3 linked regions of the Danio rerio genome follow. The protein of the gene in region 3 purifies or fractionates together with the protein of the main gene of each other region. This does not show direct contact. Links are inferred from orthologs where the notes say so. Each region holds a gene or a part of one and is shown on either strand. Other genes may lie near its edges.

Region 1 (4,296 bases), on a different chromosome or scaffold from region 3:
TGTGTTATAACAGGTTTGACATAGACATCATCTTTCAGAGGGGCAAAGTGGAATTTGATGGTATAAATGTTCTGAACTGCTAAAGTTATTCATCAGTACTATCATCATATCGACATAAGCTGCAAAAAAGCGGTTATTTTAACTAAAAGACAGGTATGTATTATTTAACCTATAACAGGTATAATAACTAAAAGAACCATACCTTTTGTGTATTGCTTTATGGTACATAAATGATTTAGACAAGATTAATTTGGTTCATAAAGTACATTTTACAATCTTTTAAAGTCTCATTAGTAAACGTTAACTAATGCATTAACTAACATCAACAGTGAGAATCAGATTCGTTGTTAACGTTAGCTTAATACAAATACAGCTAACTTTATTAGTCGTTAGCTTAATTAAACTAATAAAACAGCTTTGACTATTGATTTAAATTTTTCCAAATTATTAAACATTCATTCATTTTCGTTCAGCTTAGTCCATTTATTCATCAGGGGTGGCCACAGTGGAATGAACCGGCAACTTATCTAGTATATGTTTTACAAAGCTGATGCCCTCCCAGCTGCAACCCAGAACTGGGAAACATCCATACACACTCATTCACTAATATACACTACAGCCAGCTTTGTTTATCCAATTCACCTATATCACATGTCTTTGGACTGTGAGGGAAACCGGAGAACCTGGAGGAAACCCACGCCAATACAAGCATGCAAACTCCACACAGAAATGCCAACTGACCCAGCCGGGACTCGAATCAGCGACCTTCTTGCTCGAATCAGTGACAGTGCTAACTACTAAGCCACTGTGTCGTCAGTTGATAAACATTAAATAAACATCACCTAAGATTGAGTATAAGTGCTTTACAGTGGGTAGTTATCGTTTGTTTAGTTCCAATAATGTTAACAAAAGGAGTCTTATAGTTTGTTTAAGGCCAGCTTAAATGTGAAAATGTTTACGCTTGACAATAAATCGCCTATTAAGTTTTCAAGCAGGCGGTTCATTCCGCTGTGGAAACCACTGATAAATAAGGGACTAAGCTGAAAGAGTTTTCAAGCCTCTGTTGCTGTGATGATGAACACCAACAAAAAATCAAAATATTCTTAAAAGGCAGTCTTAACGTTTATATAATAATGTATTATTAATATTATTATTATCATTGTTGTATTATTAAACAAAACAGCTACTATGTTACTGTATTTACAGCAGATACGTAAAACCATTATCATAAAATCCAGTTTTCTTTTTCATTTTAAGCAGAAAGCTCTGTGCATGAAACTCTTTTTAGTCCCTAACCCAGATGTAGGCTTTAGTCATAATATTACCCAGTAGTCTATTATACTAATATGACTAATTAGTTTAAAATAACCAAACAGATTTTAGAGTTAGATAACAAAGAAATGCCTCCTCACTTAACAAGTACTCACGTCTGACTGTGTATCGTTCACCCTGATACAGCTTGTTTTTACAAATGTGCAACCGAAGCAGAAATATCAGCACGCAATGTCTGATAACGCAGAGCTATCGCCATTGCGCTGCGATAAACGAGATGGATTTGATATCGTCTTTGTTGCTGGGGCGCGCGGGCAGAGCCTTTTTTCCCGCTCGCTGCAGCAGCCAGGGGCGGCAGTAACACACACTCGGGGCTCGGTGATTGAGAGGCCGCGAGCCGAGCTGATGCTCCCCGCGTCTTGAACTCCCGCACCAGGGGAGCAGACCACCGGATGACCCGCAGCTGAAGGTCGCGGGGGCGAGACAGGACGCGCGTGCGTGCTAATTGATTCACGCGCACTGTGGGAATGCGCGAGACGCCGAGGCCCCAAATGTGACAAAACACTGTTTAAATAAAAGTTGGAATAAGTTATATTTAGGATGAAGTGTAAAACTGCTTAAGGAGTCATTTTTTAGGAAAATGACTGAGCATCAGTTTACGTCTTTGTCAACTACTGGCACGTAATCGACTAAATAGCGGAAACTTTTCCCTCATCACTATCTGTTGATGTCATTATAGTGACATACACACAATAATGAGGCGTTTTATCGACACAGTCACACCGTGAGACCGCCTGAGGGCTGATGACAGCGTGCAAACTGTCATTTCACAAAGTGAAAGCATCTCCGTGCCCTGTGCTGAACCAGTGGGTCGGGTCAAGTTTATTTACATTGTCACAATTCAAAGCGGTAGTCCTGACGCTCACGCCTCTCTCTCACCCGCATTTAGATCAGTGCTTCGGCTTATCTGTCTTTATCTGCCTAAGTATTAAGTTCGAACCTTCAGGGCAAAGAAAACACGGGACGGTGGCGGCTTAATGATCCTTTGTCAGATCACAGCGGGAGATGAGAAAGCACCATCCCATGACAGACCTGATGAATGACACAGACGGGACAGAAAGAGGGGGAACGGTCAACTTTAGCCAAACTCCATGCAACTCCTAGCCACAACGCACGCGGATAAATAAAGCATACACAATAGCTGACCGCTTCAGAGCATCCAGAATGGATGTCTGGATGCAGCTGTCGCAGTTTTCGGAGGATTCTTGATTAGTTTCGCTGTGTTTTTGTGCCCAACGCGCGCTCCCGTGTGTGCCGCGGACAGTACGGTACCTGGCGCGGCTCTTGCTGCAGTTTCTCGAGGCGCCGCCGGTGAGTTTATGTCGCTTGCGTTCTCGTCCAGGTCCCCGTCGTCTTCTTCTTCTTCATCAAAATCTCCTCCCTCGGAATTAACCGCCGTGCCCTCATCTTCCTCACAAGAACGGAGAAGAGAGGACATTATATTCCCGTCGGTGACCCCGTTCCGCGAGATCTAAAAGTGTATTCCTTCCAAATTATGATATTTATGTAATATTCAAATCGACACACAAAAAGTGGGGGGCGTTTTGGAATATTTTACACTACAAGGCAGAGAAACAAAGATGGCCGCCCTTATATTTATTTTTTAACAACCCCCCCCCCCCCATAAGAAAAATCCCCTTACATAAAAATGGCTGACTATATTATTTCAGAACGCCCCCCTCCTTCTCCTCCTCCTTTTTTCCTTTATTTCTTTCTCTCCCCCCCCCCTCTCTCTCTCTCTAGTCTCCCCTCCCTCCTTAAAAATAAGCACTTTGTTACAGTAGGGAGGCGTTTTGCTAAATGCAACTTGTCTGTGAGCTGCTTTTATTGCGTGTGCTCGTGTTCTCTCACTGCTGCAGACTCTTGCCTGTAACTGTCTGGTTTTTCCGAAAGTGCACGCAGTGGCGGCGGCGCGCACTGTGCGCAAAGCAATGCAAGCGCGACACGAATCTAACAAACATGGCCACCTTAATATTCTGTAAGCCCCCACCTTTGAAAAAAACAAATAGAAATGTGTGGAGGGAATGGGGCTGATGAGAGTGAGGCTGGCTAGAGGGAAAGCGCTGCCGCAGCCATGCCCACACTTACATCATGTTGCACTGCTTAAAAATTAACTGTTTGAGGTGAGGGCAAAACAAAGCAAGTTATCAGAGAGCTTCCCAGCTCTTAATTAATTATTAGCTAAAGCAAATAGAATAACTGATCATTCTGCGCGTTTGGCTGCTGCATTACGCAAATTATTAGCAAATATTGCATGGTGAAGGGGCACGAGTTGGCATGCCGCAAATCACCGGTTATCTGTGCACGCGGATTCACCCATGCCTTCTTTGTGGAATACGCTGAACCTGCACTTTATTCTTCATTTTCCAATGTAGGCTATATTTGGTGTCATATATTTACCAGCGGTTTACAGGCTTTGCCAAATTTAAAGGCTCCCCATTTAATGTCTGATACTTCTGCTTTACATAAAAAGCTAGCAAATTAAAATAGTTATTATTATCAATTATATTAATAGAATGAAAATAAAGTATTATAAATCATAACATTTATATTACTGTTTTTAAATTCTAATCAATAGAGATTTGCATACATATTATTTATTCTGATAAAAATGGGTATAGAAATAGAAATGTAATAAAAGTTTTTCAATGTTTTCTTAACTAATATCCATGCCTTTCATGCCTATAAATCCCACGTTTATTAAATTCATCATATAGGTCTATTGTAGTTTTCCAAAACTGAATGAAGCTGGATCCATTGTTTTTACATTAAATGAGAATTCTTTAATAAATAAATAAATAAAAAACTAATTACAGCATTTGCACCTGTGTTAGATTAGTTTACAACCAGATTTTTGGGATTATTTTGCTTAACTGTTTGAGGTGAGGGCAAGACAAAGCTTGTTATCGGAGAGCTGCCCAGCACTAAATGAATATTAGCTAAAGAAAATAGAATAACTTTGAT
Region 2 (3,658 bases), on a different chromosome or scaffold from region 3:
AATAAATGTTGGAGACATACTCGCTACATAAACACATTAAATGACACGTTTATTTGAGGGCGCGTAAAAAAATCTGCACCTGAGCAGCGTATATTTGAGGGCGCGCAAGATGTTTTGTGGACGAACAGAAATCGGCGCTCAAGCAGAGATTGACATAATCGTAGGCTATTACATGAATGCAATCTCAACTTAAAACTGCGCCCATGACATTTGTCAATGAAATAAAGACACATGTATTGGTAGATCTGTGTAAAATGGCCAACAGAGTCTGCCGCCACAGCTGGAAAAAATCCTAGAGGAAACAATGGAGTACATCAACTCCTCCAGAAATTATACCTGGAAGATGGAGGCTTTCATCGGTGCTTCTGACTGTGCCAAGCCCAGTTTGATGAAGTGTTGTCCGGTGTTAGCAAGAGGATTTCCCCTCGGGACATTAACGACAAGCACTATGTCATAAACATGCCTCTACAAGAGAAGTTCAGATTTTTCCACTCAAGCAATTTGTGCGAAACAATTTACTTAGTATGTAAATCGCGATTGATGCTTCATCCACATCTGATGTGAACGCAGCAATAGGGTGAATTATTTTGTGAATTAATCAGTACTTCATATGCATAAACGTTGTCATGGTGTAGAGGTGAACTTCTGCTTTCAGTTGAGCGTTATTTAGAGGTTTAAACTAAGCATGACACCCTGAGTGTGTATTTTAGTAAGATCAGTTTCACTCTGATGCTTTAGGAGGTTAAAATGGTTTCTGCTAAATATGGATTTGACCATATACATGCATATACATGTATTGACAGTACATAGGAAAGTATAGTACAGCCTTCATTTTTCCCTGTAAATCTGAATTTTACAACCATACAGTACACAAGACACCCTTTAAAATGTAGTTCAGTGTAACATTAGTTTATACAGTGTAGCTACCTGTGATTCAAATTTTAAAACCTTTTTAAATGACATTAAAATACTTGAATCCACTTAGAATACTTAAAATCCAGTAAGTGTTTAAGGATCACAGTGCAGTCCCAAAATATTATGCTCACAGTCAAGCATAATTAAATAGCCATTTTAATAGAGTATTATTTAATAACCATTTTAAATCCTTATAATTTTTTTATCACTAGGTTTTACCCAATTTAAATTGTTTTATCATTTAGAATAAAAAAAAATGTATGTTCTCTCATTTCATTAAATGATTTAAAAGTACAGGTCAGCTTAAGTATGTTGGATTATTTTACATGAATATGATGCTGGAACATTATTTCAACCATATTTTGGCATTGTAGTTTAAAGCAGGTTGAAAATTCAACTGTTTATTGTGCTTTCTATGCATATGAAATCAGTTTTGTGAATGTACTTTGAAGCAGGCATTCATTTGATCCTGGATGGGAAAATGTTAAAGGTAAACATCTGACATATTGGCCTGACTGTGCCAGCCAAAAATTATTATTGTTGAGCCTTGGGCTGAAATAAATAGCATCACCTTCTCTGTGACCTATTTACCACTCACTTTAAATCAGCGCCGTTGTATTTTTATCTACCATATCACTATGTCTTTCCCTCACGGATTTGCGTTAGAAAAGCATTATCAGTTTTTAATACTTATCATTGCCAGTGCATCAAGTATGTATAGCAATAACTAATATGGGAAGTAAATGAGTTGTGTAAGTAAATATAGGAAATCAATGGAAATGGGCACAATACAAGATTGGGACAAAGTAAATCAATTCTAAATTCAATAAATTTCTCCCATCCAGGTGACAATAAAGAAGAAGACAGCAGTGTTATTCACTATGATGACAAGGCGATTGATCGCTTGTTGGATCGAAACCAAGACGCAACGGAGGACACAGAACTGCAGAGTATGAATGAATACTTGAGCTCATTTAAAGTGGCCCAATATGTGGTCAAAGATGAAGATGAGGAGGTGAGTTTGAGTGCGATTCACTGTCTGTGCTTGGTTTGTTTTGGTATTATATATAGTCGAACCAAATTTTATTGAGACATCTTTGACATTTCTCACAATATCACAATTTATTCACCTTAGCTTATAAAATGCTTATAAAATATCAGAATAAGTTTATCTTGATAATGTCAGATAATGGAAAGAAAAGTATGATATGCAATGGATTACAATCAACCAAAACCACAGCGTATAGTTGCACAATTATCAATACATTGTTGGTTTACTTTAGCCTCAATGACATCCTGTAGTCTCCCCTGTCAACCCGATCTTCAATATTTTTTCACTGCTTAAGCTGCTTCACTTTATCCTGGTTTTAAGTTACTTTGAAGAATATTTGGATATAATATGGCATAAATTACTATATTTTTTCATTTACATCACCTATAGTGTGCTTTAGTCCTTCATAATAATAACCGTCTATACTAAATGTGGCAGAATAATTTTTTTGTTTGACTGCATGTGTTATAACATGGTGTATTTCGCAGGAGGAGGATGTGGATAGAGAGATCATTAAGCAGGAGGAGAGTGTAGATCCTGATTACTGGGAGAAACTGCTGCGGCATCATTACGAGCAGCAGCAGGAAGATCTCGCTCGTCATCTGGGCAAAGGCAAACGGCCACGCAAACCTGTTAACTACAATGACTGTTCACAGGAGGACAGAGGTAGTAGACGGGGTACAGACGCACTTTATTTCCTTTTTTACTGCTCTTTCCCTTTATGTTTGTGAGTATGTGCGCGTGTGCTGTGGATAAAGACGAACGTATTGGTGTGATCTCAAGGTCTGGAAGATTTCTTTACTCTTTGTGTGTTGTGTTTTGTCTGTTTATTATTGTTTATTATTTAAATAGATAATAGATAAACTAAAAGTCAAATGTTTGCAGACTTATTCTTAAAATAATGTTCTCATATTCTTTTAAAATTAAATGCGGAAGATATGTTGTATATTAGGCACTAAAATGTAATGTGATAATTTATCTGACATTTCAAAAGTCGATCATTTATCACTTTAATAATTCTTATTTAATTATGCAGTCTTTGTTGAGAATTTTCTTTCAACATTTCACAATAATGTTAAAGTTAGAATTAATGTTAAAGTAATTTGACAGAGACAGATGTTTTAAAGTGTATACTATACCGATAATTACATTATATTGTTTATGATATATTATGCAGTTACACATTGATTATAAATGTTTATATTATATTATATTATATTATATTATATTATATTATATTATATTATATTATATTATATTATATTATATTATATTATATTATATTATATTATATTATATTAACTTATGAAATCAACTCCAGTCTTGTTTAAACATTTGACCTTTCTGTTTTGAGTGTGAGCATGAATCCCAATTGTTTTGTTCCCTTCAAATAAATATTTCCTCTGCAAGTCAACCCAAATACTCATAAATATTTTGTCCCACTCATTTGGATTCTCAGACTGGCAGGATGATCAGTCTGATAACCAATCAGATTACTCTGTGGCTTCAGAAGAGGGTGATGAGGACTTTGATGAACGATCTGAAGGTAAGAAACAAATTGAAACCATTATTTTTGTTAATAAAAGTTTGTCGTACATGTATACATTTTACTGACATGTTCCTCTTGGTTCAATAACAGCCGCTAACTCTCGAAGACCAAGTCGCAAAGGCTTGAGGAATGACAAAGACAAA
Region 3 (3,658 bases):
ACATTTGAATATAAAACTATGTAAGTGCTCTTACGAGCTTTTTGATGTTGATATGTTCTCAGGTTCCTCCTATAATGACAAAGCAGAGGGCAAGAAAAAAGGGCGTCCTCGAGTGGAGGTACAGGAGCTGCGCAATATTCCTGTGAGTAAAGCATTAAATATATCTTTTGGCCACTGATAAAGGAGCGAAGTACATGCCAGATTGGGATTTTGAGTGTTTTTTAAAGCCGTTTGTGAAATGAGTAAGGGGAATTTCCAAAAGTACTTCCAACTGTTGAATTTGGAAGAGGATCATCTCACAGAGGGCTGAGTGTTAGTCAATTGATTGCTAATAGTTTGCAGTGCCTCTTGTGTATTGTTTGCTTTTCTCTCGTTGAAGGCCCATATGATGGTTCAGTGGAAAGAGGAGTTTAAGAGTCGTTCCAGGGTGAAATGTCCAAGCTCAGGCTGCTGGCTGGAATTCCCCAGTATTTACGGACTTAAATATCACTATCAGCGATGCCAAGGGGTAAACACTAATATCCATTACACTGCAAAAAAAAAAAAAAAAAAAAAAACGTGTATGCACTCAGTGGGGGTTTACACTATAGTCAGTGGGTTGTATGGACAGTTTCCGACTAGTCAAGTCAAGGTTATGAAGTGCTAAAGGTTTGGGTTGGTTTAGGATTGCGTCAGCTAGGACATTTAGCTGCAATAGCTTTGAAATGTATTGATACTGGCATACTTGTGTTGTTTTGGCAGGTGTCAAAGAGGATGAATACATAGATTTCTACATTTATTTTGTCTTGAATATAAAGTTTGGACGAATACATTTAACCTATTTAAATTTTAAATTATTTGTGAGATTATAAACATCTCAACTTTTAATCAGTTTAGTGTAATCCTGGGAATTAAAGCTATTACATTTTTAGTCAAATCTTAATGATATGATAAAATCTTAATATATGTTTACTAAATACACAGTGTATATTTACACAACTGATTATATATAGAGAGAGAGAACGCATGTTACATTGGGTACTTAAAATCATCTTGCTGAAAAATAGGTGAAACCAAGTGGATTGAAGAATTGTACAAATATGTAAAGATGTAAAATGTCAATTGATTAGCCTTTATTGGCATCTCTGTGATCCTTAAATTAGAGATGTCCCGATACCCTTTTCGATACCGATTCCAATACATGGACTGGTATCAGCCGATAAAGTGCTAACCCCAGACCTGGGTGTGTATTTGTGCACCTACTAACCTTGTTTGAATTTATCTAAATGTTTTATGATGAACTTCAAACTTATCCTGTAATAAAACATGAACAAATACATTTAGTGAACTAGAGTATTTTATTATAAGACACATTTAACAGTAATATTATTTACTCTTCCACACTGAAAAAGAACTTCATATATATATATATATATATATATATATATATATATATAGATAGATAGATAGATAGATAGATAGATAGATAGATAGATAGATAGATAGATAGATAGATAGATAGATAGATAGATAGATAGATAGATAGATAGATAGATAGATAGATAGATAGATAGATAGATAAATCACATCACTTTTCTTGTAAATGAACATTTTTCTATCAGGCTCCTCTGTTTAGGTTCAGATGTTTTATATATTGTATTATATTATTATAGATAATGAGAAGGTTATTATCTGGTAAATAAAACACATTTTTTTCCAAAATTTCACTTTTTAGATTTTTTTTGCCATCAAAACGAGCTAAATCCACTTGTGCTTTTTTGCAAATACCTCTAAATCCACCTATTGGGACAAGACTGTAATTAGTTGAAAATCACTAAAGATGCAATTAGAAATTATTTTATTAAACTTAAAACACATTACACAAACCACCTAAAATATAAAATACATAAATATGTCAAGTAAGTGGCGGTTCATTCTGCTGTGGTAACCCCTGATAAACCAGGGACTATAAGGCAATTGAATGAATGACATCTGTCGAGTAAGTGCATTAATCAATAATATTAAAACTAGCATTAATTAATTGTTAACAATCTGTTGGTATTTCTGATATTTTGGATTTTGATTTATTAAGGTTGTAATGTAAAAGTAATGTAAAAAAAATTAAACATTGCAAACTAAGCTTTTTAGATTCAAATAATGTAGTGTAAAAACATTGTGAAACATCAATGTCTGTGCATTGTCCATAATGAAAAAAGGAATACAATTTATTAAAGTAATATATATATACATTAGCAAATAAAAGACAAGGCCTACTGTGCAAAAAAGGGGATGTCTCTCAGACAATTTTAAAAGCTGTCACTCATTCATTCTCACTATGCTCAAGGTCTTGGTCTCTTTTTTTGTCTCTTGTTTATCCACAAAAAAAATAGTATCTTAAAATGATCTTTCGTGAAATTGAGTTGCCGCTCAATGTCAAGTAAATCGAACTCATTCAAAGTACCAGCACTGCACAAAAAAAACATTATGAATGCATGCTGCACTTCCGACTGTACATTTGTGTATTCTTTTTCTTATGATGCACAGGGACATTTGAGGGACATTTTCATTTTCATTTTCATTTGACCGTCACTGACAGTCGAACAGGCTCATCAAACTCCATCTTTTAAAATGTAAATCGGAATTAGAATAAAACAGTCTCTTCATAAAGGCCGACGTATCAGTGCGCTGCTACAGTGAAAAGCTATGATTCGATTTGCGTTTTCTGCTTGTTTCTCAGGACATAGCAGCTTTTGCTGTCAAAGGCTAGTGGCGTTTAGAGGCTTTTGCCAACAAACTGTTATTTCTGAATAAGCTGGCGCTGCGTTTGAGATAATTTGATGCAAATATATGTTTTGTTTGTTCTACATTCGCTTAATGTCATTACCTCATTTTTGGTGGAAGTGTCGTTTAGCGGCACACACACTACCTGACACACACACACACACACACACACACACACACACACACACACACACACACACACACACACTACCTGACTAGACTCTTTCCGTCGATCCTAGTTGTGAGAGCAAAACTTGTTTGACTTCTAGTTGATGATTTGGAAAAGTATGAGAAAGTAGATTTTTTTCAGATGAATCATCTATTGAGCTGCATCCCAATCATCACAAATACTGCGGAAGTGGAGCCAAGATTCTAATAGAAACCAGTCAATTTTGGTGAAGGACAAATCATGGTTTGGGTTTACATTCAGTATGGGGCGTGCAAGATATCTGCAGAGTGGATGGCAACAACAACAGCCTGAGGTATCAAGACATTTGTGTTGCTCATTACATTACAAACCACAGGAGAGGGCTAATTCTTCAGCAGGATAGCGCTTCTTCTAATACTTCAGCCTCCACATCAAAGTTCCTGAAAGCAAAGAAGGTCAAGGTGCTCCAGGATTGGCCAGCCTAGTCGCCAGACATTAACATTGATCATGTGTGGGGTAAGATGAAGGAGGAGGCATTGAAGATAAATCAAAGAATCTTGATGACCTCTGGGAGTCCTGCAAGAATGCTTTCCTTGCCATTCCAGATGAGTTTATTAATAAGTTATTTGAGTCATTGCAGAAATGTATGGATGCAGTCATCCAAGGTCAGCGAAGTCATGTCAAATATTAATTATTTTTCCACTTTTTCTTTTTAAACTGTACATTACTTCTGTTAAGTGACAAGGTTTT

What was found.
Region 1: the proteins of znf512b (region 3) and chd3 purify together in Homo sapiens (affinity purification with mass spectrometry; 3 studies listed by BioGRID and IntAct, with this or other methods). This does not show direct contact. The link is inferred for Danio rerio from reciprocal best matches to the Homo sapiens genes ZNF512B and CHD3.
Region 2: the proteins of znf512b (region 3) and chd4b purify together in Homo sapiens (affinity purification with mass spectrometry; 4 studies listed by BioGRID and IntAct, with this or other methods). This does not show direct contact. The link is inferred for Danio rerio from reciprocal best matches to the Homo sapiens genes ZNF512B and CHD4.

Annotation. Positions count from the first base shown.
Region 1 is NC_133182.1:20,749,501-20,753,796, forward strand, and holds the start of chd3 (chromodomain-helicase-DNA-binding protein 3), read right to left. Parts: upstream 2,901-4,296; 5' UTR 2,771-2,900; coding exon 2,605-2,770; intron 1-2,604.
Region 2 is NC_133191.1:34,963,448-34,967,105, reverse strand, and holds part of chd4b (chromodomain-helicase-DNA-binding protein 4), read left to right. Parts: intron 1-1,760; coding exon 1,761-1,930; intron 1,931-2,454; coding exon 2,455-2,644; intron 2,645-3,425; coding exon 3,426-3,512; intron 3,513-3,605; coding exon 3,606-3,658. UniProt on the Homo sapiens protein: ATP-dependent chromatin-remodeling factor that binds and distorts nucleosomal DNA. Acts as a component of the histone deacetylase NuRD complex which participates in the remodeling of chromatin.
Region 3 is NC_133198.1:14,985,850-14,989,507, forward strand, and holds part of znf512b (zinc finger protein 512B), read left to right. Parts: intron 1-62; coding exon 63-142; intron 143-379; coding exon 380-508; intron 509-3,658. UniProt on the Homo sapiens protein: Involved in transcriptional regulation by repressing gene expression. Associates with the nucleosome remodeling and histone deacetylase (NuRD) complex, which promotes transcriptional repression by histone deacetylation and nucleosome remodeling.